Diceros bicornis minor: one gene and its partners. The protein of the gene in region 1 interacts with the protein of each later gene in a pairwise test. Links are inferred from orthologs where the notes say so. Each region holds a gene or a part of one and is shown on either strand. Other genes may lie near its edges. The genes, in order: PIAS1, SMAD4 and MX1.

Region 1 (6,902 bases):
GGTAATTGTAGGAGTAAAATCCTTAGGAATGTGGGAGGCAAAGGAATCCAGGTCACTGGTGGAGGGACTGACCTTCACAGGCACAAGGACACTTCATTCATAGTAACTCAAATGTTACTACGCCAATAAGAGTAGTTTTGACGGTGAGAAGATAAGGGAGTTCATGTTATCTGTTATCTTTTAATTTTTTCCATGAGATATGAGGCAAAGTTGAGGAGCAAAAAGTGGGGTTGGAGAGGAGATAGGAGGCTTTTAGTAGAGAGGAAAAGGTGTCAAATAATTCTTTCATCACGTCTACTTAAATGTCAATTTAGAGGCGAAAGCTCTCTCAGGATTAAGTACATCTCCTCCCAGCCCCTTTTTCTCTCACTGGACGGTTCATGCTTTTCAGGTACTCATCATCCTTTGTAACTGTATCTTTATAGGTTCGCGTGTCTGTTCCCCCATTACAGAACTACAGGAGGGCAAGGACTTGGTTGTATTTAGTTTCCCAGTGTATATATAGCCCTTAGAAACAGGGCCGGTACAAAGTCACTAAATAATTACTTGAAACAAAGAAATTAATGAATGAAAGTTTTCAGAATTTTGTCTTAGGCCACTCGTGTTAAGTACTTGCTTGTGCAAGTCACTTTTCCTCTCTGAGCTTTATTCCTGAATATATACCACGGGAACAGTAGTCTCTTCCCTGCCTACCTCACCGCGTTGTCATGAGGAGGATCTGAGCTAATAAACCTGGAAATACTTCATCAAGTGATTCTTAAATGTAACTGATTGTTATTTTTAGCCCACGTGTAGCCTCGCAGGTAGCAGGTGCTGAAAAGGACTTGCTGATTGGGGGAGGGCGTATTATTGTTCCCTGTGCCTGCGGAGGGGCGGGGCTCAGGCCAGCAGCCCTCCCGCTCCGGCCTTTCCCTGGAGGCGCTAGCCGGGCGAGGATGGGGGGCGGGGAGGCCTAGGAGGGAGTAACTGTCAAATCTCTCCGCTTGGCGCCATTATTTAAATAGTACGTGTCCGTGTCGCAGCTGTACGTGCCCAGGGCGGGGCTCCGAGCGCCCGGAGCGAGGCGGAGGCCGGGGGCGGGCCGAGGAGGCGGAGGGGCGAGAGGGGACGGGCCGGGGCGGGGCCAGGCTGGCTAGAGGGGCGGGTCTAGCGGCGGCCCCCGGCGAGGTTCACTGCGCTTGCGCTGACAGACGCAAGATGGCGGACAGTGCGGAACTAAAGGTAAAGCGCAGCTCGAATTCACTTCTAATATTCGGCCGCGGAGACGGCGCCGCTGGTGCCGAGGGGGATGGGTCCGACCCTGGGGGGCCGCTCGGGCTTGACTCCATCCAGGCCTGGAGTTGTAGGGCGGAGCGGCGCGCCCGGCCCCAGCTGAGGGGGCCCGGCAGCGGCGGGCCGCGGGCCCCGGGTGCCTCGGGGGCGCTGACGGGTCGTCCCCGGCGTGTTATTGTTGTGGGCGCCTCTGGCGGGGGAGGCGGGGGAAGAGATCGCCAGTGGGGAGGTGGGGGCCGCGGCCGCCCCCGGGTCTCGGCGTGCTCACCTTCTAGGCAGCCTCCCCGCCCCCCCATGGGGAGCGGGGGCTAGGGCAGGGTGTTCGTGTCGGGGGGATTGGGAAAGCTCCCCGCCGCCGCTTCCTCTTCCTCCTTTGCAGTCCCGGGCTCCTGTCAGGCGCTCGGCTCAGACCCCCGGGAACTTGGCTCCGGCCGCCCCGCCCCTCCGTGGCTCCCTGCGGCCCCCGCCCCGGACTCGGCTCTCCCCGGCTGCCTGCCTGTCAGGAGGCGCCCGGGGTGCCCCGCTTGTGCGCAGCGCGATCCTGGGGCGATGGGGTGGGGATGTGAAGAGAAGCTCCGGGAAAGTTTAGTGAGCCTCGGGCCGGCGTTGGGGTTCGGCTGAGGGGTAGCGGGGGGGTGTGCCTGGGCGGGACGTTACTATTTCTCTCTGATTCTTGGTAAGCGGGGGGTAGAAACCCCCTCGAAGGGTGTGTGTTGGGAAGCAGTGGTGGGTGGTGGGAAGCACCTACCTCTCTCCTCTTTTCCTTCTCTTCCTTTGGCTGGTGCGGAGGGTAAGAGGAGCCTGTCGGGGTCTCTGCACACACCATGATGGCGATGCTGTAGCTGATGGAGGTGAATGGTTCGTGTTTATATCCCCCCGTTGCCTTTTGTTTGTGGGGACATCTTGCTGGCCATGTTGATTTGAACGAAATTCTCCCGTCATCCTACTTCAACCCCCAATAAATAGAACGTTCCTCCGTTCCTCTCAACTGTGCCAATTACTCACGCCTCGCGAAATTGGATGAAAGGGTGCCCCCTTTTCCCCGCTCATCCTCCCGCCCCAATCTTCTTTACCTGATGATGGCTTCTTTACCGAGGCAGATATAGCACTACACAAGCAGTTGGGGGAGGAGGGTGGAACCCTTGTGATTGGATTGTGACAAATGGGGCTCCGCTTGAATAATTTTGGTTTAGTAGCAAGCAGTTTTTAACTAACGCGTATTATTTCGAGGCTCTGAATGCGATATTCCCTACTCTGTGGCTTCCTGTGTGTGATCCAAGCAGCTGGTTGTGTCCTGACCCAGAGAACTGACATCTCTGTCAGAGTGGAGATTGGGATATACAGTTGTAAATCTTCGGGGAGAGTCCTCTTTTTATAATTAATAAAAATTGTGTAAAAAATTTTCTCCGTTATAATGAAGCGACAACTTCTAGAATAACCAAACGCCAGGTTTGTTTCTGGAGAGTTTTTCTGTGGAAAGCGTCGCTGAAAGATCGTTTTCCCCCAGTAATTTTGCAATTTTAACACTCCACAATTTGTATATTAAGGCGCTGGCTTTGAGTGTCGTTCTTTTTAAATTTACTGCTAATTACAAATAAATTTAAGGGAGAGCAGATTTAGGATGGTTGGTTTCGTTTTTTCCTGTTTCAAACTAGTGACCGAAGTGAAAAAGCCTCAAGAATTTGAATATTGGCAGGTAATTAACTCTTGAAATAAAAAAGTCCACAACTTTAAGATACATGTTTTCTATAGTTTTATTCTTGAAATGTAGTCCCTATGTGGCTGTAATCTTTGCCTTCTAATATTTATTTTGTTAGGCATCCTTTTGAATGATAGGTAATCAGTTCTGTTATACGGGGACCACAGAGTAAAGCTGAAAAGCTTGTGCTGGCTATATTGTCACTCTTGATGCTGTCCAAAGAAACTGATGTGGAAAGCACATGCTGGGAGATTTCTTCCTTTGTTCTTTCTCATTTTAAGAAAGTGCCTTTAGGGATAGATCAGATCCCTGGTGTGAGTCTTGTTAGGTAAAGTTTCTGTTTGCTAAAATGAGCCTGTATCAGATAAACGCTAAGAACTTGGGGGAAAGATTATTTTTCTAAAATTGGTCTCCTTTTTTGCTCTTTCCAAAATCTACTTGAGTTTTTCCAGAGGAGTTGTTTTCTACTTTTATGTTCCTGTTGTACATTTTTTTCAAATTATAATAACTGTTTTGACATTCAGGTCTGTCATTGTGTGTGCCCAGTACTTTGAGGAGGTGTGATAAATTGCTTAGCTGGTGATAGCTGTGTTAAAATTTTTGTTAATACTTGATTGTGGTTAGATTTGCTGTTCTTTTTTTTGGAGTGGGGAGATCATCTTAGGAACCCCTACCTTAGTTATTTGAGAATGTGTGTATATAATTTTCTGTGCAGTAAGCTTTGGAAGATACTGCTTTTGGAAATTGTATTTTCTGGTGGTTTTTTGTTTGTGGTTTTTGGAGGTAAATAGCATTTATTCCTAATAAGGTAGGAAAAGAGTAAGAATTAAGAAAAACCCAGATTTTTTTAAAGTTTTAGGTGAAAATACGGTACTTCCAATGAATTTCCAACTATGAGGCTTTGAATAAATACATTGACTTTTTTGGTATCTTAATTCACAACCCATGTTTCATTTTGCTGTGGATTGTATTCATAATTATTTTCCTCATGGTCCATTTTTGAGTCCTTGTAAATCTATAACAAATCTGCAAAGATCAGATGGGAAAATGGATAGATCTGTATCCCCTGTAGTATTAGTGCAAGCTGCAACACTTAAAGATATTGCCAATAAAAATTAGATTAAGAGTCATGCATATCAAAAAGAGTTCTCGGTGTATATTTGTTTATATACCCATAAATGACATTTGTAAGAATGTAGAGAGTGAACTTTTTGTTATGTTTAGGAATTTAAAAGCAGGAGGGTGTGATGACCAGATGATCTTGGAAGTTAATAATCTGACAGCTTCATGTAGCTCCTCTTAAAGTACTTTTTTAAAAAAAAATCACAAATGTTTTTTGCTTTAAAACTCAAAGCAAGTTGTATTGCCATTTTAACTCACAGGAGGAAGAGTGGGAAGGAAGAAGTTCTTCATTTCAGTGGAGCAAATAATGGATTTCAATGGGAAGAGAAACCGCTTAAAAGTATAGTTTTAAAAGTATCTATAAGCGTGTCAGTAAATTCTGTTGTCATATTCTGCCTCTTTATTTTCAAGAAATAGCCACTTAATTTTGCTCTTTGTGGTGTCATTGTTTGCTTTTATTTCAGATAGAAGCAAGTAAATCTGACAATTTATTCACAAATTTGATTTGAATCTCCATAACTTGCTTTTGTCAAGTGCCACATTTAGATGGCTTTTGTTTTAAGTCACCATTCTTATGAACAGTATTTGAAAACATTGTATAAAACACAGTTTTTAAGCATTTCATATAATTGTTTGGAAATTCCGCCTTTTCCTCCGCCGTTTTCTCTGGCTGATTGTATTGTCTTTCTCTTCAAAGAGTCTCTTGTAATCCCTGTTGATTGCGGTAGTGCTGAGTGGTGAGGCCATAGCTGATTAACCTTGGGTTTCTCCTGGTGAACTCCATCAGCATGCTGCTCCAGGGTTCTTGCTGAGAGTTTTGAGTTTAGTGTAATTTGTGCCCTTTCTTGCTGGTAACTAGGGATAAGAAAATAAAATGGCTCGTGGTTGTAGGGGGAACTGAGAGGAAGTATCTCAAGTTTCTGAAAAACTGGGTGTTTATGATGAATGTAGCCTTTAAAAACAAACAAAACTCCTGATTACTTCATAGGATTGATTGTAGTGTTTTCTGAAGTATTCTGTGGCATTAAGCACCTTGTTATTTCTTTTTTTAATATTTGAGTAATATTTATACAGTACTTGACAGTTCATAGTCTATCACATTATCTCATTTGGTCTTCCTAACAGTTCTTTGAGGTATAAAAGGCAGGTAATATCTCCCTTTTTATCCATGCAGTGAGCCCAGAAAGGGTAAGTGACTTGTCCAAGGTCATATAAATAAAAGTGGCAGAGACTTAAACCTAGGTCTTGTGATTTCAAAACTTTGTACTGTAGGCTGCCTTAAAGGTGCCCTGTCAGTCCTGGAGCTCTCTAGGGTGCCTTGCTCACAAAGAATTCTAGTTATGTTGTTGCTAATACTTTCCCTCTTGCTCTATGCCAGGGTATTTTTGGATATTCCTTGGGCTTTTTGCAAGGAAGATTTTGGAGTTTGTTAGTTGGAATCATAGACATTAATTCATGCAAATATAATTTTGCTTGGGAAGATTTCAGAGAATACTGAGAAGTAAGCAGAAAAATAAACAGCACCTGTAATCCCAGCATTTAGAAATCTCATGGTTAACATCTGGGTGTCTGTCCATTTAGACTGTCTCTCTGTGAGCATCTCTCTGTGAGCATACGTGTATGTATGTTCATCACAAAAAGGGATCATACTACTCTTTATTTGTAATCTGCTATTTTCTTGGCTGCCTTTCCAGGTAGTAAATATAGGTCTATATGATCATTTGAAAGGTAACATTGTATTTTATTCAACTAGTCTCTTGTCATTGAACAACTAGATGATTTCCACTTTTTTGCTATTTTAAACAGTTTCTTGACAAACAGCCTGATACAAAAGTTAGCAAATGTTTTATTCTAACTAAATATATTGATATGACAGAACTTTTTTTGTGCTTCAGAGAGCAATACAAATGGTATTTTGATTACATGAAGTGTTGTGAGTGAAATAAGTTAATTCTTTATTTCTTCATTGTCTATACCTTTATTGTTTCAGTTTCTATAAACCTGTCAGATAAGATTATTGAATTATGGCAGAGATAGAGTTTATAAAATGTAAGTAAACATTGCTTCTGAATCAGAACATTTGATAAAGTATGAAATATATTATAGAATAACATGTATAATTTATATTGAGTATGTTTGATTTTGGAAATTATAACACAGTAACAAATATTGCAAGTTTATGTGCTCATCTGTTTTTAATTAGCGTTAAGAAAAAAGCATTGCTGAATGTTAATATGAAGAAAGTGGATATGAGAATTTGCCTTACTCAGATTTTTAATCTCAAAGCAAAGTGTTGCCATAGTATTTGGTAGGTAACATTGTTTCGAGGAGGCTTTTATAGAATGGAGGTTACATAGGCAATGAAAACATTCTTCTATTTCAAGAAGGAAGCTTTATGGATTAAATCAATTAATAAATGCATATGTGAATTGAGTTAAGGATATTATTTGTGCAGCATCTGAAAAGTACTGCACTGTAGAAGGAACAGTTGATGAAATTAAGGGTGTGACATTGACATGTTAAATTTGGTCCTCACCTACACTTGCATTTATGGAACAAATTGTATCATTAGGATTTTTTTTTTTTTTAGAACACAGTTTGTATATTTATTTATTGTCTTTTTTTTTTTTTTTTTTGGAGAAAGATTGTTGCTGAGCTAATGTCTGTGCCAGTCTTCCTCTATTTTGTATATGGGTTGCCACCGTAGCATGGCTTGACGAATGGTGTAGGTCCACGCCCAGGATTCAAACTGGTGAACCCTGGGCTACCGAAGCAGAGCATGCAGACTTAACCGCTATGCCACCGGGCT
Region 2 (8,005 bases), on another chromosome or scaffold:
GAAAGAAAGCTTTCAAAGCCTTTGCCTGCTAAGGTCAGAGATGGTTGTGAGAATTGAGATGTTTCTCCTGGAGAAGTCTCAGGAAAAGTGGTAGCTTAGCTCCACTGAAGTGCTCTGGGACTGTGGTCTTTAACACTTCTTGCTTGCTTACCTCCTAAAGAAATTTTAGAAACTATGTTTCTTCTTGTACTTTTAACGGTCAGATCTAAAATGTTTCATCTTAAATTTAAATGATGACAAAGTTTGTTATTTCTGGCATATTATAAGTATTGGAATTTTAAAATAAGATTGTTACATCATTCTTTAAGTGTATCCAAGGGAATGTAAATATCATAATGCATCTACCATCCATTTAAAAGATACATGAACAAGCTTTTCTTTAAAAGAAATTTTACATCACTCTTTTTCTACTTATCTTGTATTTCCTTTCAACTTGCCCCTGGAACATTTTAATGTAAGATTTTAGACTGGAAAGTCTTTTATCAATCAGCCTATCATATTTCCCTATAAAAATTTTTAAAAAATCTTTTGACTGAGTTTCTAAGTTTAAAAAACTCATCTTGATTTTATCATCGATACAATTTTGAATACCTCATTGATCTAAACAACATAAGATATTACAAATTTTGATAAACTATTAAAATTAAAGTGTAGAATATTTTTGCCAGAATGAAATAAGATTAAGAATCAATTCTAGGGGGCCGGCCCCGTGGCTTAGCGGTTAAGTGTGTGCGCTCCACTGCAGGCGGCCCGGGTTCGGATCCCGGGCGCGCATCGACGCACCGCTTCTCTGGCCATGCTGAGGCCGTGTCCCACATACAGCAACTAGAAGGATGTGCAGCTATGATATACAACTATCTACTGGGGCTTTGGGGGGGGGGGAATAAATAAATAATAATAATAAAAAAGAGACCGTGGGAGACCCTCTCAGCTGAAGACCTAAAATATGCCAAAGATATAACATTGTGTGTGTTGTTATGATTCTATTACATATGTATGTAGTCTTACATACACATCATATTTGGAGTGTTTTTGAACTTTATATAAATTGTATCAGATGGTATGTATTCTGCTGCTGCAGAATGGGAGGAGAACTAGAGACAAAAAGTATAGAAAACTCGTTTGGAAGTTTTGTTGCAAACGAAGCAGAGAAATGGGGCAGTGGCTGACAGTGGAATTGGGTCAAAAAGAAGATTTTTGTAGGATTGGAGAAATAATAGCTGCTTATAAGCTTATGGGAATCACCCAGTAGAGAGGGAAACACTGATAGTATAGAAGAGGGGAGATAATTGCTGGAGTGATGCTGATGATCTTGATTAGGCAAGATGAGATTGGGATCTATTGCCTTAGCAGAGGGACTGGCTTTAGCTAGGAGCATGGAAAATTCAACTATGTAACGGAGGGGAAGGTGAAGAAGAGGATTCTGTGGAAGTTTTTGTCTCATTGCTTCAATTTTCTCAATGAAATAGAAAGCAAGGTTATTAACTGAAAATGAGGATAAGAGGGAAGGAGGTGTAGGTTAGAAGACAGAGAAGGTATGAAATCCAGAAGAATGGAGGAGGGAAGTAGGATTCCTGGGCAGCACTAAGGGCTCACTTGAGGTTCACAGTGATAAAATTAAAGTGAAACTAGTCAGTGTAATTGTGTTTTTCTCTAGCCACATTCAGATGCAGCGGTACTGGCGTGGAGTAGGTGGAGAGCTGGCTTGAATCAGAATTGTGGTTTTGTCCAGCAAGCACAACAAAGAGGGAGGGGAGTAAGCAGACTGAGGGTATGTGCAAGAGAATGATTGTAATGATTGGCCAGGGGTTTAAGCTGAGTTAAGGATGGGAGAGAGCGGATACGTAGGTTGAAGAATTGCTGGAGTCAGAGTACTACAAGGAAATATGGAAATATGAGGTGGTGTTCACCATGTGAGATGTTTGACATTGTGATTATAATGAAGTTGCCAAGTTTGATAAGGCTCCTGTAATTATGCCCATGAGAGTGAGTGGCTGAGTTAGGGTAGGACAAGATCTTTGGAGGAGAAGTCAAGGAACTGAGAGGTCAGGGTATTGGGAAGATCATCTAAGTATATATTATAAGCACCTAGAATTAAGACAGAAGTGGTATTGGAGTGACTGATAGGAGCAAACAGTGAAAAAATGAAGGGGAATGAGAGCAACGATGAGGATTACTGGATAACAAGATTTAAAGCTGCAGGTTAGGGGCCGGCCTGGTGGCATAGTGGTTAAGTTCATGTGCTCCGCTTTGGTGGCTCGGGGATCGCAGGTTCGGGTTCTGGGCACGAACTACACACTGCTCATCAAGCCATGCTGTGGCGGCATCCCACATACAAAATAGAGGAAGATGGGCACAGATGTTAGCTCAGAGCCAGTCTTCCTCACACACAAACACACAAAGCTGCAGGTTAAAAGGAAGGGGAGAGGAGGATGGTCTGGAAGCAATGTCAAGGAGCAAGGAGGACACCTACCCCACCTCCAGGCACAGTTGAAGAGGCTTATGGTTGAAAACATAGCTGCCACTACTTGAAAGGGGGAAAGGGAAGCAGTGTCCCGGGGAAAGTCACGTTTTCCTTAAGCAAGAAGGTGAAGGGAAACTGAAGAGAAATTCTGAGGGAGTTGAGTTTAAAGGGATTTTCATTTGCATAAATAAATACATGGTGTGGTGGACACACTCTAATGTAGCTCCATATTATTCCTGCCTCCTGGTGTTCATGCCCTTGTGTGGTGTCCTTCCTTTGAGCGGGGGTGGGACTTGTGATTTGCTTCTGGCCAAGAGTATGGCAAAGGTGACAGGATGTATGTGATTACATGTACGTGCTTATGTTACATAAGACTGTAACTAGGGTCTTGCACTGAGGCTCTCCCCCTTGCTGGCTTTGAAGAAGCAAGCTGCCATATTGTAAGCTTCCCTATGGAGAGGGCCACATGTCAACGAACTGAGGGGGACTCCAGCCGACAGCCAGCAAGGGATTAGGGCCCTCAGTCCTGCAGTCTGCAGGGAACTGAATGCTGCCAACAACCATGTGAGCTTGGAAGTGGATCCTTTCCCAGTCAAGTTTCACTCTGTGATCTTGCAGAGGACCCAGCTAAGCCATGCCTAGACTCCTGACCCATAGAAACTGTGAGCCAATAAATGTGTGTTGTTTTAAGCTGTTAAATTTGTGGTAATATTGTTATATACAACAGATTAATACAGATGGGAATGGAAGAAGTTTAGTTATAGCAGTGTTACTTAATTCTTATAACTCCTTCTGGGGTATATGGCCTAAGAATCACATGTTGATCTATTATCAAATCACCTGGTTAGATCTTCTTTCAATTTTTTTTTTTTATAATTTTATTTATTTATTTTTCCCCCAAAGCCCCAGTAGATAGTTGTATGTCATAGCTACACATCCTTCTAGTTGCTGTATGTGGGACGCGGCCTCAGCATGGCTGGACAAGCGGTGCGTCAGTGCACGCCCGGGGTTCTGAACCCGGGCTGCCAGTAGCAGAGCGCGCGCACTTAACCGCTAAGCCACGGGGCTGGCCCTCAATTTTGTTGATAGCAAAGAACTGGAAACCAGCTGACTTGCAAAAGAACTTATAACTCATTCATTTGGGTCATTCACTTTCTCAGCACAGACACCAATTTTTGAATTGTCCCTTTGAATTGCCGTGGAGGTTTTTACATCTTGGGTCGATACACCTTAGTAATGGGTGTGAGTGTTGACTTTTTTTGTAAGGTGGGAGAAGGACAGTTTTGAAAGAGAATGCTGTGTCCTCAGGTGCTTTCCCAAGCTGAGCAATTTTAGAAAATAGTACATATAGCGGTGGAAGATCTGGAAATGAATTCCCTTAAAACTAGTTTTGGAAGGTCTTCATGAACCCCAGGGGTAAGGGAACATAAGTGAATATGATAGTTTAGAGGCTTTCTGGTAGAAGGGGGAAGAGCCCAGGCTATGATGGTGAGGGCAGCATGGGGCTAGGGGGCGGGGCACTGTGTGTGAAAAGTAGGAGGGGGACTAGAGAGTTTCTGGGCTACAAGACTTAAGAAATGACTTTAGAACTTTCCAATAATTAGTCTTGGTGAGATCTCCAACGGAACTATATCCTGATTGGTGAAAAATAATATATAACTAGTACATGTTTTCTGAAACTTTTTAAATGTAAAAGAAATGCATGCATCTTGTAAAGTTTTCAAAGAAAAGAAGTATAAAGTCAAAAGCACAGTTTATGCCTTTCCTTACCCAACAGGTAACCTAGTTAACAGGTGTGTAGTAGGTCCTCGAAGGTCCCTTCAACTCTGAGGTTCCGCCTAAATCTCTTCCAACAAGAACCACTCACTTTTCCTAAGATCTGGCCAAGCTCTCAAATGTGTGATTCCTTGACTCTACTGTGCACGTCTTTAACCCAAAAGAGGGAGTCTCTTTAGTGTAGATACTTTTGGATCTAGTGATCCAGGGCTAGTGGAAAGGGAAGGATGGTGCGGTGATCGCCAGTTTCTTCCCAAAGTACACCGCTACAGCACCGTCTCCCCAGGGCTAGCGGTTAAAGTCTAATACTTAAGCCCACGCAGGTCCTCAAAAAACAAGACCCGCCTGATCGCTATTTATAAACACTTACTGGATGCCACTATACGCCGAGCTCTCCAGCGATGCTTGGGCACTTTGCACTTTTTTGGAGAGGGATGCCAATTTCTCTGATGACCACTCCCTGCAAACAACCCCCCCCCCCCCCCCGCACCATTGCGCGGCAGCGCGCTCAGCCAGGGCCTCAGCCCAGGCTAGGACTCCGGGCAGCCCGCCGACTGGTGGTGCCCCGCAGGCGCCTGCGCAGAGCTATCCACCCGTCACTAGGGGCGGGAGGCGGGGGCAGCCGGGAGAAAGGAAAGCTGCGGGGAAAAAGGGCCAAACCCTGAAATTACCCGGATGTGGTCTCCGCGCGCGCATGCTCAGTGTCCTTTCGACAAGTTGGCAGCAACAACACGGCCCTGGTCGTCGTCGCCGCTGCGGTAACGGAGCGGCTCGGGTGGCGGAGCCCGCGTTCGCGCCCGCCCGCTCTCCTCGGGAGGCCCTTCCCGCCCTCCCCTCGGCTCCGCGGCCGTCCAGGGGGCGGGAGCGGGTGAGGGGAGCCGGGCGCCCCGCGAGAGAGGCCCCCCGCCGCGGGGCGGCCCGGGAGCTCGAGGCGGCCCGGCCCGCGCGGGCAGCGGCGCGGCCCCGAGGAGGGGCGGCCTGGCCCGGACGCCTCGGGGCGGGGGCCGAGGAGCGCTCCGGGCCGCCGGCGGAGCGACGGGCCCGGCGCCCCGCGGACGAGCCGCGGCGGGAGAGCGGACTCCCCTCGCCATCGCCCGAGCCCAGGTAACTCGCCATGTCCCCTCCCCTTCCCCCGGCGGGCCCGCGCACCCCACCCGCGGCTTCCCCGCCCCGGGGCGGGCTCCCGGCGGCGGGGAGCGCGCGGGAGGCCGGCGGGTCCGCCCGGAGAGCGAGCGCGGCCGCCTGACGAGCCGGGCCGGCGGGTCGCGCTGGGCCGCGGTGCCTCGCGTCCCGCGGGCTCGGGGCCGGCCCTCGGGCCCCGAACTCCCCTCGCAGTTTGTCGCAGAATCAAGTTGAACTGGGACGGGGACTCCCGCTGCGGCCGCCGCTCCTCTTTGTTGTTCTGGAGTAGTTTCCCCGTCCTCCCGGCCGAGCGCGGCGGGGCGGCTGGAGCGTATTGCCTTAGGTCTAGAGGAAAGTTATAGATGGTTGGTCTTGATTTCTTTTCTCAAGCAAATTTTTGTTTTCTCTTTGTCCCTTACTTTCTCTTCCTGGTTGTGTCATTCCCGTGTATGTTTCTGGCTTTGATTTGTTTACTTACATTTTGAGTATTGTGGGTGATGGCAGTATGCAGGAAACATTCTTAGCACCTAACTGACCACCCCCCACCCCGCCCCTAATAAAAAAGAGAAGACATAGTTTATCTTATTGCTAGGACTACAAGTACTGAGTGAGATTGGTGTAGGGTGGAGGGCGGTGGCTCCATCACATTCCCCAAACTGCTGTTATGGTTTCTCAAGCTAGATTTTCAAAGAAATGGGTGTGTTTTGTTAACTTGAAAGATTTCTTTGCGGGTATAGAGAGGTTTTAAACAACCCTATTGAAAATTGGTAGCTAGTTTCCCCCTGAAAAGCCAAGTAAAATTTTTTTAAATGAATATATTTCTAATTAATTTATTTTGAGTTTAGTTTTATAATGCCTTTAGCTGTTGCACCATAGTTTTAGGTGAAACTACCAGTTATTTAGGAATAATACATATAAGGTAATGGGGAATCATTTTAATTAGTCTGTATTGACTTTCTGAAGGCATGTAATCTTGGCCAATTTTTGTTGGCAAACAACTTGACAAACTTTGACTTTTGCCAGAATTAGCATCCTTTTAGTGTCAGTAGCCATTTGATTATTCGGGTGTTTCAAAAGCAGGTTCAGTACTTTTTGCTGGAAGAAGGCATTTAGTGTTAATAGAAAATACAGAAATGCTTATTTTCATAAAGTAATTAGGTTTAGAACGTTGCATTTGAATAATTTTAATTGCAGATTTCATAAATTGCTTTTACCGTGTTGTACTGAGACTGTATTTCAGTTGAAATGTAGCGTGGGAAGTTCTAACGTGTGTAACTTTTTTTTTTTCCTGCTAAGGATTTATTTTCTCTTTTGGAAAGTTCTAATATGGTTAGTACATGATATTTCAAGTTGTAAATGATTGATATAATTAACATTTTAAAATCTGATTTCTTATTAATGTTTCTTCTATAACGTCGTCATGATTTTGTTTTTTTAAGTGGGTTTGTTATAGCACAAATGTAATACAGGCAGGCCAAGGATTTAAGATTTGGAGTATCTTTAGGTCTAAAGGTGGTGATGAATTATGTAGGTTTAAGTTGTTGGAATTAAAACTAAAAGCCTTTCTAGAGAAAATTGATATAACATTTTGTGAGTCTATTAATAGAAGTGGCTTTTTCTTTGCTTTCCAGGTTTTTGGGTGAGGTTACTTTAAAGAGGTATTGCATCTTAATTTTTTTTGTTTTTGAAGTGGGACTGCCTAAGTAGAAATTTCTCTGTTTAGCTAAGTGCCTTCCTTGTAAACCTTGAGCTTAGAAAACAACTGCAATTAGTTTCAGATTTAATGAAAATTTGTGCTGAGAAAGTCACTTAGAAATTTTTGGGAATAAGTTATATGTGGACCATGGACCTTTTCTGATGGCTTTGCTTCTTGAAGCAATTCTGCTTATCCTGGGAAGCAGCAAGTCTTATTTCTAAAAACCAGCGCTTCACTTTCTTAAGCTACATTTTAGTTGAGCTGTTTCTCCATTTGTGTGAATTCTTTTTCTTCGTTGCCCTTCAGATTTTTTTTTCTCTCAAATTAAAGAGCAAGTATTAAAAACTAGTTTATGCTGCCCAGTCACACTCCAGCTCTCCAGTTTGGAAGCTGTTTTTTCTGATTGAGCCAGTGTTATAGTAACATCATTAGACACTATTCTAATTGAGCTGTGAATTGCTGAGGCCTCTACTGGGGCAGTTAACCCTACAGGATCTGTCTCATGCATTACATATAAAATGCATATTTAGTCTTATCTAAAATTTTGCCTATTCTGGTGAAGCATACTTTATTTTTCTTATGTTTAAACTTTACTTATTTCAGTTCTATTTTATCCGCCTCTAGCTCATGCCTAACTTTTTTTCATTTTTCTTTCAGTGATTTTAGAGTGAATGGTTCTTTAAACATCTTATGTTAGCACCATTTCAGTGCTCATTGTACATGTTTGGATTTCCTTTTTTGTTTTTTTCCTAGAAGATTGTGTAGTTAGAAATTTTTGTTTTGCTTAAGTGATGATTAACGGTGACTCTGAGGTGTTGCTTAATCATGTATAAAACCAACCTGACTAAAACTATTTTATGGATTTCATTATTTTCTACACTAAATGAATGTTAAAGAAGTTAGATAAGCATAGCACAGAATTTAATACAATTTTGTTAAATTATCAA
Region 3 (8,070 bases), on another chromosome or scaffold:
ACTATAGCCAAGAAGTGGAAGTAACCCAAGTGTCCCTCATCTGATGAACGGATAAAGAAGATGTGGTATATATACACAATGGAATACTACTCAGCCCTAAAAAAAGACAAAATCGTCCCATTTGCAACAACATGGATGGACCTGGAGGGTATTATGTTAAGCGAAATAAGCCAGACAGAGAAAGACAAACACCACATGATTTCACTCATATGTGGAAGATACACTAACACACAGACAGAGAGAACTGTTTGGTGGTTACCAGGGGCAAGGTGGTTGGTGGGTGGGCACAACGGGAGAAGTGAGGCATTTATATGGTGACTGACAAACAATAATGTACAACTAAAATTTCACGAGGTTATAAAATATTAAGACATCAATAAAAAAAGAAATGGGCTTAAAAAAAAAAAAAAACATGGTTTGGAATCTGTGAATTCTAAAGGGTTGAGGAAAGGCAAAAGTTGAGTCACCCCAGAGGGACACTTCCAGACTCCGGAGCTCACATATGGAGCTCCCTTGGAAGACAACCGTTGCCAAGATGAGCTAGAATCAAAAACACAAGCCATCTACCCTGATAGGAACAGTCAGGAGGCGCAGTAACAGATGACTTTACAGCTACAAAACTCAGATAACAGCACTCTTGAAAAACAAACAAACAAAAACAAAAGGGAGAGAGGGATGCATTCCTTTCTTCATAAAATGGGAGAAAGGTGATTTTGAAAGGTGATCAATTTAAAAGAGTATTTACAGAATTTGGCAATCTGGAAATTTATGTCCTAACCCCCCTCATGCCTTTGGAAAGACTCATGTGCCCAGGGGGTCCCAGGCGGGGGCCCCGAGTTGAAGACCACAGCTGTGTCAGTTGGCCTTACTGCACCCAGCCAGGTAGCATCACTGGTCTCCAAGGCTTGCACCCCCATGACCAGGGGTTCAAGATGAGTCAAAACAAGACTTTGTGAATGTATTCCCTTCCTTTGTTTGTTTTGTAAAATGACATCCCCTAAAAGCAAAACTTGTTGGTTTTCTGTACATCTTAAATGTTTGTACCTTTCTTGGATCATCTTTGAAAATCAGTTTGGATTTCAGGAACAGGGCAATCTCAGCCACTAAAACCAGTTTCTTACTTGTTCATTGTACTCAGCATCCAGCTGCAGTTGTCATGCTGATAGAATATGTTGGCCCAGTGTTGGCCGTGGTACAGTCAAGCAGCGGTGACTATGAGCTCTCAGCCTCAAACTGCTCACAAAATGTCTCACCCGTACCTGCGTTTGCAGACAAGACTGCAGGGAAATTCGAGGTGGGCACACCACCTTAAATCTCTCTCCTTTCCAGCCCTCATCTTCCTGACTATTGCACACCCCCATCGGTCATGGGTGGGGTTACTGTACCGGGCTCTTCTCTCACTCCTAAGGTTGGGGTAGGGAGGGGAGAAACTGCCCAGGTGCAGGGGCTCTTCCCATTCTTGCCCAGGGCAGGTCTGTGTCCCCTCAAGTTCTCACTGTCCGTAGAGGTGGCTGGCTGGCTGCCTCCTCCACTCCAGATTTTAGGGAGTAGTAGTTTGCCTGTGGCTTCCAGAACTGGATGCCGTCTATTAGCAGTGTCACTGGAGAATCCTTGCAGTGGGGGGTGTGGCTGACATCAAACTGCTGCCCAATGGGTTTCCATCCTTGTGGGAAAGCTTCCTCAGCCCAGACGGCATAGAAGAGCAGGGATGGGAGGGGGGATTTAGCGCCCCCCAACCCCTACAAGCACAACCCCTAACCCTGGGATCACCTACAAGCACATCCTAGAGAATGTCTGATTCATAGAGTCTGTAATTTGTCCAACATAATTCAGTCTAGTTTTAAGAATAATCCTTGAAGGATTTAGATTTGCTTTTTCTCCTGAAAGTGTTTTGCCTTCCAAAAGCCCAGTGACATTTAAGTTTTTTACGATTAAAAGGGAAAACATCTTGTACTTTAGACCTAATGCTCGCTACCAAAACACACTGAGTGTCAGGAGGCAGGGAGAAGGGAAGTCAGGAAGAAAATGGGGCGCACGTCCACATGGAAAGGCTGGGGGACTCCCTGCCAGCAGGTCTGTTCCAAAATAGAAAGAGGACACGGTTAGACATTTTAGGAGTTGTTGGGGACTGATAACTGGAGGTTAGCATCACTTGACCCTGCTTCCACCAACTTGATTTAAAATTTGACCAAATAATTCCGAGAATCCCACGTGCACAACTCAGAGGCCACCAGCGGTGGGGAGCACAAATCTCAGCAGTGCCTGGGTTCCTTCTGTCAGTCCCCAGGACTGTCCTACCTCTCTCCATCCCCCCAAACTATGTGTGTCCGGCCCACTCAGTGGCACCCAAGCGCACAAGCTAGGGGGAAGTCGCTGAGTATTTCCCCTTCCGGCCGGAAGAGAGAGGGGTGCAACACGCATGCCTCGTCTCTCCCACCAGCCCCTCCTCCCGTCTGCGCGACTGTGGTACCCAGAACGTCCTCGCCAGGCGGGACCGTTCACTTGGACCTGCCTGTATTTAGCAGGTTCGGTGAAGACCCCTTGTCTCTGCACTTCCAAGGACCCCCCTCCCCCGACTGTTGACTTGTCTGGTTTGCCTCCCTAGCAGAAAATATAAAATGACGTCAAGCGATAGTCGGCGTCTGGGGTGGGCTCGGAGGCCACGCAGCAGTGGATGCGAAACTTTGTGCGCCCCCCCTTAACCGGCTCCCTCAGAGACCCCCAGGGCCCCCATCCCCTCCACCGTGCCACTTCCTCAAGCAGAAAAGCCGTAGGTCTGGGGGGCTGTTTTTGATGAGTCACTCAAGAACCTTGCAAGTAGAATCAAGCGTGCTCTGAGCCCAGCCGACATCGCCATTATTATTATTATTATTGTTATTGTTACTATTATTATTAATTATTACCTAATACTAGCCCCTGCAATGCCCACACCCCGGAGCGCTGGTCTCCGCAGCCAGCCGCCCAAACGCCCCTCTCGGAGCCCCGCTGGCCGGCTGGAGAGTGCGCAGACCCAGGAGCGCGACACTCACCTGTCCCCGCGCAGCGATGAGCGCCGGACGCCCGCCGCTCCTCTGCTTTATACCGCGCGGCGCCGCCCGCCCCCGGCCGCGGGGAAGCGAAACTCAGGGGACGCGAGGGCGGGAGAGCGGAAGGGCCGGTGGGGCAACCGGCCGCAGAAACGAAACCGAACCGCTGCTCGCCCCTGCGCCCCGCGCCCAGCTGCAGCCTCCCCGAGGCGCTCCACGTGTGCGATCCCCACCAGCAGCATCCGCATCCCTGGGAGCTTGAGGGAAATGCAGATTCTCGCCCCCCACCCCCCACCCCTCCCCAGCACACCTGCTGAACCAGAAACTCGGACTCAGGGCCCAGCAACCTGAGTTTTATCAGGCCCTTCTGACGATTCTGGGGGCAGTTTGAGAATCGTTGCTCTAACAGCTTCGAGTCATCCAAAGCTGAACGTAGCGTTGACCCTAGCGGGTCCCTTAACCCCTGGCCTTCTGAACAGATGCACTGATAATTGGGTGTCTTAAATTCCTGCTGGAGGTTCACTGGGGTCATTGGGGCACCAGCAGGGATTCTCAAGCATTCTATGTTAATAGCAGCTCCCCCCTCCCTCCCCCTCCCCAAGCTGACCCACATCATCCTCCTTCCCAATTCTCCTTGTCCATTTCAAGCCCTCCCTGGAGGTTGGCTCATCTGATTTCTCCAGGATGGAAATGGGTGGAAGGTGGGGGCCTGAAGTCACGCAGACACAAGAGCAGCCCTCCCTGTGGGGACTCTGTGCATGGGGAATAACACTTCCCTTTGGAAGGGCCTGGTACCCCACCTCCATTCTCCTTAGCTCAACTCAGAGTCCCTGAAGACAAGCCCCCACCCCACTCAAAGGCCTGGAACCTGCCCCAGCTCCAAGTTCTAGAGTCAGGGAAAGCCTGGGGGGAACCAAATTCAATATGGCTGCACCAAGAGACGAGGAGGAGGCCCCACAGCCAACTCCCTGCCTGGCCCGAAGTCACCTGGCTCTGCAGAGTCCATTGCTGGGGTCTGGGTGATCCCATCCAGGGTGGCCTGGTGGGAGGACACAGGCTCTCCCAGGAATTAGAGAGAAACCTTTGTCGGCTACTCACTCCTCTGGGCTTCAGGTACTTGCAGTTAGGAGGAAGAGTGACATCTTTTCCTGGTGGGCTGTGAGCAGGAGGGGTTAGAGCTTTCTGAAGGAGTAGAAGTGCCCCTGAAATGCAGGGGGAGCTGTGAGCAAGGCATGCGTGGCCCTAATACTCAACTCTGTGGAATGATCCTGCCTCTTCAGACCACAGGAGGCTCTCCCCAGTGACGCATGTTCAGGAATGAATTCAGACAGAGCCATGGGCAAAAGTGAAAACAAGGCGTGGCCACAGCCTGTGCCAGGGCCAGGATGAGGGCAAGGTGAGCGAGGTGGCTGTGGGGCCAGAGTGGAGGAGCCGGGCACTCTCTGTAGGCGTAAGTGCCCTTAAATTTGGTGCCCCCGACACTTCACAAGGCTACCCCTCTCACCTCCCAGCCTGAGACTTTTGGTAGCTCATTGTTTCTACTTTGCAAGTTGTATGGCAGTTCCCTAAAGAGCCCAGGGGCTTGTCTGTGGTGTGATTCAGTAATAAAACAATAATAGCTCATGTGCACTGGGTAATAGTATGTGTTAGGTGCCAGCTTGAGAGAATAACTCGCCTTCACAACCACCCTGTGAGGGGGTAAGATTATCACTTGCACTTTACGCACGAGGAGACTGAGGCTAAGGAGTTAGCTTATTGCTGGGTCCCGTAACTAGGAAGTGGGATAGCTAAGATGGCAGATATAGGTTTTGATCCCTGAGCCTGTGCTCTGTAGCATCTTCTCCCCACACTAAAATTGACAAGATGCGGTTCCTGTCAGGAAGCTCATAGCCTCCCATCTGAATTGCTGACGATTCCTTCTCTCCTCAAGAAATATTGATTACTCTATATTCTACGAAATAAGTTTCAAACTCTTAGCTCTTGAGGACTGTCCTCCAGGCTCAGCATCCCCACTCACCATCCCTGAACGCAGCCAACACCTCTGCTGGCCTGTCCTCCCCCAGGCTTCCGGACACATTTGCCTCCTCTGCCAAGTGCTAACGGGGATGTTCTCTGTCTGTACAGCTGCCCCTGGGAGCTCCTTCCAAACCTGGGTCCTGTCTCTTCCGGCCCCCCATCGCCTTAGCTCTGGCTAAGATGCTCTGGATCTCAGGTGGATGTTCTGGATACTGGGGGATGTGGCCACCTCCTTGATGAAGGTGTCAACTCCACGAAGGCAGGCTGAGGTCTCATCAAGTTTGTATCCCTCCGGTGCCTACCACCTACCGACAGCAGGTGCTCAGTAACCGTGGGCTGAATTTAACTGGACTGATGTGCCCAGCCACCTCGGCCCCTGGGGCTCCCATCACGGCCCGGCCCAGCCCTGTCCACTTACTAGTGTTCCTATCTCCATCAAAACGTATCTGATAAAAACACAGCATCCACACGGATGCATATTAGTGGCCAGACAATCCCACTGACCCCAACCCCTGCTGCCTGTGCAGTCATGGGTGCCCAGGGCTCTCCAGGTCTCCTGGTCTTTGTCCAGCCATCTCACACCTGCCTGGCCTGGCCCAGACTTGCCAGAAGAGCTGAGCTGGTGTTGATGGAAAGCCATGCCTGGCAAGCTTCCAGGCATCCATGCTGTTATGAGAGGTTCGGGGATTCAATCGGAGACGTAAAAGAAACTTTCCACTCCAAACAATTGGACTGAAGGTATATTTTATTATATAGAGGATAGTAAAGGCGATAGTCCACAAACAAATCCAAATAGGTCAAATAATAAGAGGGAAAAAACACCAGCTCAACTGGAAAGGGAAAACATCCACATCGGCTGAGATAGCAGCAGATCCGAATAGGTCATATAATAAGAGGGAAAAACATCAGATGGATCGGAAAGGGAAACACCAGATCAACTGAAGGGAAATGACACAAATCAACCGGAAAGAGAAACACCAGGTTGACGGGAAAGAGAACACATCAGATCAATTACTTCACAGTAAATCAATTACTCACAACATCCACGCCTCACTGCCGGGAGAGTCCTGTCAATCGACACGGCTGGGCAAGGATCACACGTCCTGGGCAAGGCGTCCCTTCCACAGGTGGAACTCTCACCGGGTCTCAGTCTCCAGCAGTTTATATAAGCAGTTACAGAGTTTGCAGAGCAAGCATCTAGTGTTCCCATGCACAAATGGTTATCAGTGGCGTACGTGCACTGAGCCCCTTGGCTAACGTCCCAGCCCAGTAATTGTGTACGTGCATTGTTCTTTTGGTTGTCGTCTTAGCCCGGCACAGATGGCCAGTCCATCCCGTGCTACAATGCTCCAAGAGCCTTGAAATGTTACAACTTGCAACTCTCTCCGTGGGAGAAGGGCCAGTTCCCACCACGCAGAAAGCAGCTTTTATATTTCTTTTTGTGCTGGTGGCTGTAGGTCAATGGAGCGGCCCAACATGGCTGTACTCATGTCAAGACACATGCCTACCTCCAAACAAGTGCACTTGCTTAAACACTGTGTGAAGTGGACAGCACCCCAATTCAGTGCTGCAGGGCACCCCACCGGCAGGGGTGGGAGGGGCGGAGTATTCCAAACTGCTCAGCTTGGTGTGCAGGGCCTGCGTGTGCCCAGCCTCACCTCTCCCCACCCCCATGGCTTGGATGTAACACCCTCCACACTACCCGAACTTCCCCCAGCTCAGGGCTGCTCGTCCTCCTACAAGTGCGGGCCGGGCTTCTTCCCATAACACGGCCTCCCTCCGTCCTTCTCCAGGCCTAGTGGACCTGCTTCCTGGGAGCCCCACGCTCCCCGCCCCGCCCACGGACCATGGCCGCATCACACTGTCTTGGCCTCTGTGAACACCCGTTCTGCCACCAGGCTGTCAGCTGGGCGGGACCAGGTCCGTGGTGTTTGCTGTTGTACTTGAGATCCAGCACAGTTCCTGGTATACAGTGTTTCAATAAATGTTTCTAGAATGAATGAATGAGTGAATGAATGATGAGTCGGAGGACTGGCTCGGCTCTTGCAGACGTGGTCCTCCGGTGACCTCTGGAGAGTGACCCTAAGCCACTCAGTTTCCTTCATTATCTCCTCCCCGCCTCTCCTCCGGATGTCGCGTTTCCCAGTCAAGGCAGGTTTGGTTTCGGTTTCTTTTCTCCGCCTCAGCTCGCAAAAAACGAAAGTCAGGCGGCGCGATTCTCGGTTCTTGAATCCAGGCCTGGGGGAGGAGAAGGGGGCACCCGGAGGAGGAGGGGGCAGTGCCGAGGGGAGGGGGCGGAGCCAAGAGGGGCGGTGCTAAGAGGAGGAGGGGCCGGTGAGGGGCGGGGCCCGGAGGAGCAGGTGCCGGGAGGAGCTGGCAGAGGCCGGGGGAGGCTCTTGGTGTGCCCTGCCACTTGGACGTGGGGCGGAGCCTGGACGCAGTTTTGCCCTTTGGGGTGGGGGAGGGGGGCACGCGGGACTGCGGGGCAGCCCCGGAACCCGCGGGGTAACGTGTCCACGTCTGACGCCGTCCAGGCCAAGGGTCGGGGCAGCGCGCCGTCTGTCCCGCCGGAGCGGGAGTCTAGGGTCCGAGGTCGTTTGCCCCGTTTCGTTTTCTCCGCTGTGCTTGTGACATAGACTCGTGCTTCTCAAAGGGTGGTCCCCGGACCAACAGCATTGGCTTCACCTGGGAGCTGGTTAGCAATGTGGGGTCTGGGGCCATCCCAAGACCATCCCAAATGCAGGACTCAATCTGCGTTTTTAAGAGGATTCTCCAAGTGATTCGTTTGCAATTCAAGCGTGAGAGCCTGGCGCCTGCAGGTTGCTATTTATCTAGTCCTCTAGGTCAAGGCCAGGGTCCAGCTGAGAGCCGTGCCTCCAGGGGACAGATACTGAAAGTCTGGTGGAGCTGAGCTGTTGGCTCTGGGCCCTGGCCTGGTGTACACGTCGCCAAACCCGGCGCAGTCACTGGGGAAGGTCGGTGGCCATTGCAAAATCATTTTTCTAGGATAGGGCCAGCTGTCCCTCTG

Evidence for each region.
Region 2: the proteins of PIAS1 (region 1) and SMAD4 interact in a two-hybrid assay, tested with the Homo sapiens proteins (2 studies listed by BioGRID and IntAct). The link is inferred for Diceros bicornis minor from reciprocal best matches to the Homo sapiens genes PIAS1 and SMAD4.
Region 3: the proteins of PIAS1 (region 1) and MX1 interact in a two-hybrid assay, tested with the Homo sapiens proteins (2 studies listed by BioGRID). The link is inferred for Diceros bicornis minor from reciprocal best matches to the Homo sapiens genes PIAS1 and MX1.

Annotation. Positions count from the first base shown.
Region 1 is NC_080744.1:61,954,365-61,961,266, forward strand, and holds the start of PIAS1 (E3 SUMO-protein ligase PIAS1), read left to right. Parts: upstream 1-3,901; 5' UTR 3,902-4,400; coding exon 4,401-4,433; intron 4,434-6,902. UniProt on the Homo sapiens protein: Functions as an E3-type small ubiquitin-like modifier (SUMO) ligase, stabilizing the interaction between UBE2I and the substrate, and as a SUMO-tethering factor. Catalyzes sumoylation of various proteins, such as CEBPB, MRE11, MTA1, PTK2 and PML.
Region 2 is NC_080755.1:43,330,718-43,338,722, forward strand, and holds the start of SMAD4 (mothers against decapentaplegic homolog 4), read left to right. Parts: upstream 1-4,951; 5' UTR 4,952-5,344; intron 5,345-8,005. UniProt on the Homo sapiens protein: In muscle physiology, plays a central role in the balance between atrophy and hypertrophy. When recruited by MSTN, promotes atrophy response via phosphorylated SMAD2/4.
Region 3 is NC_080766.1:41,174,693-41,182,762, reverse strand, and holds the start of MX1 (interferon-induced GTP-binding protein Mx1), read right to left. Parts: upstream 3,079-8,070; 5' UTR 3,030-3,078; intron 2,472-3,029; exon of another isoform or gene 1,122-2,471; intron 1-1,121.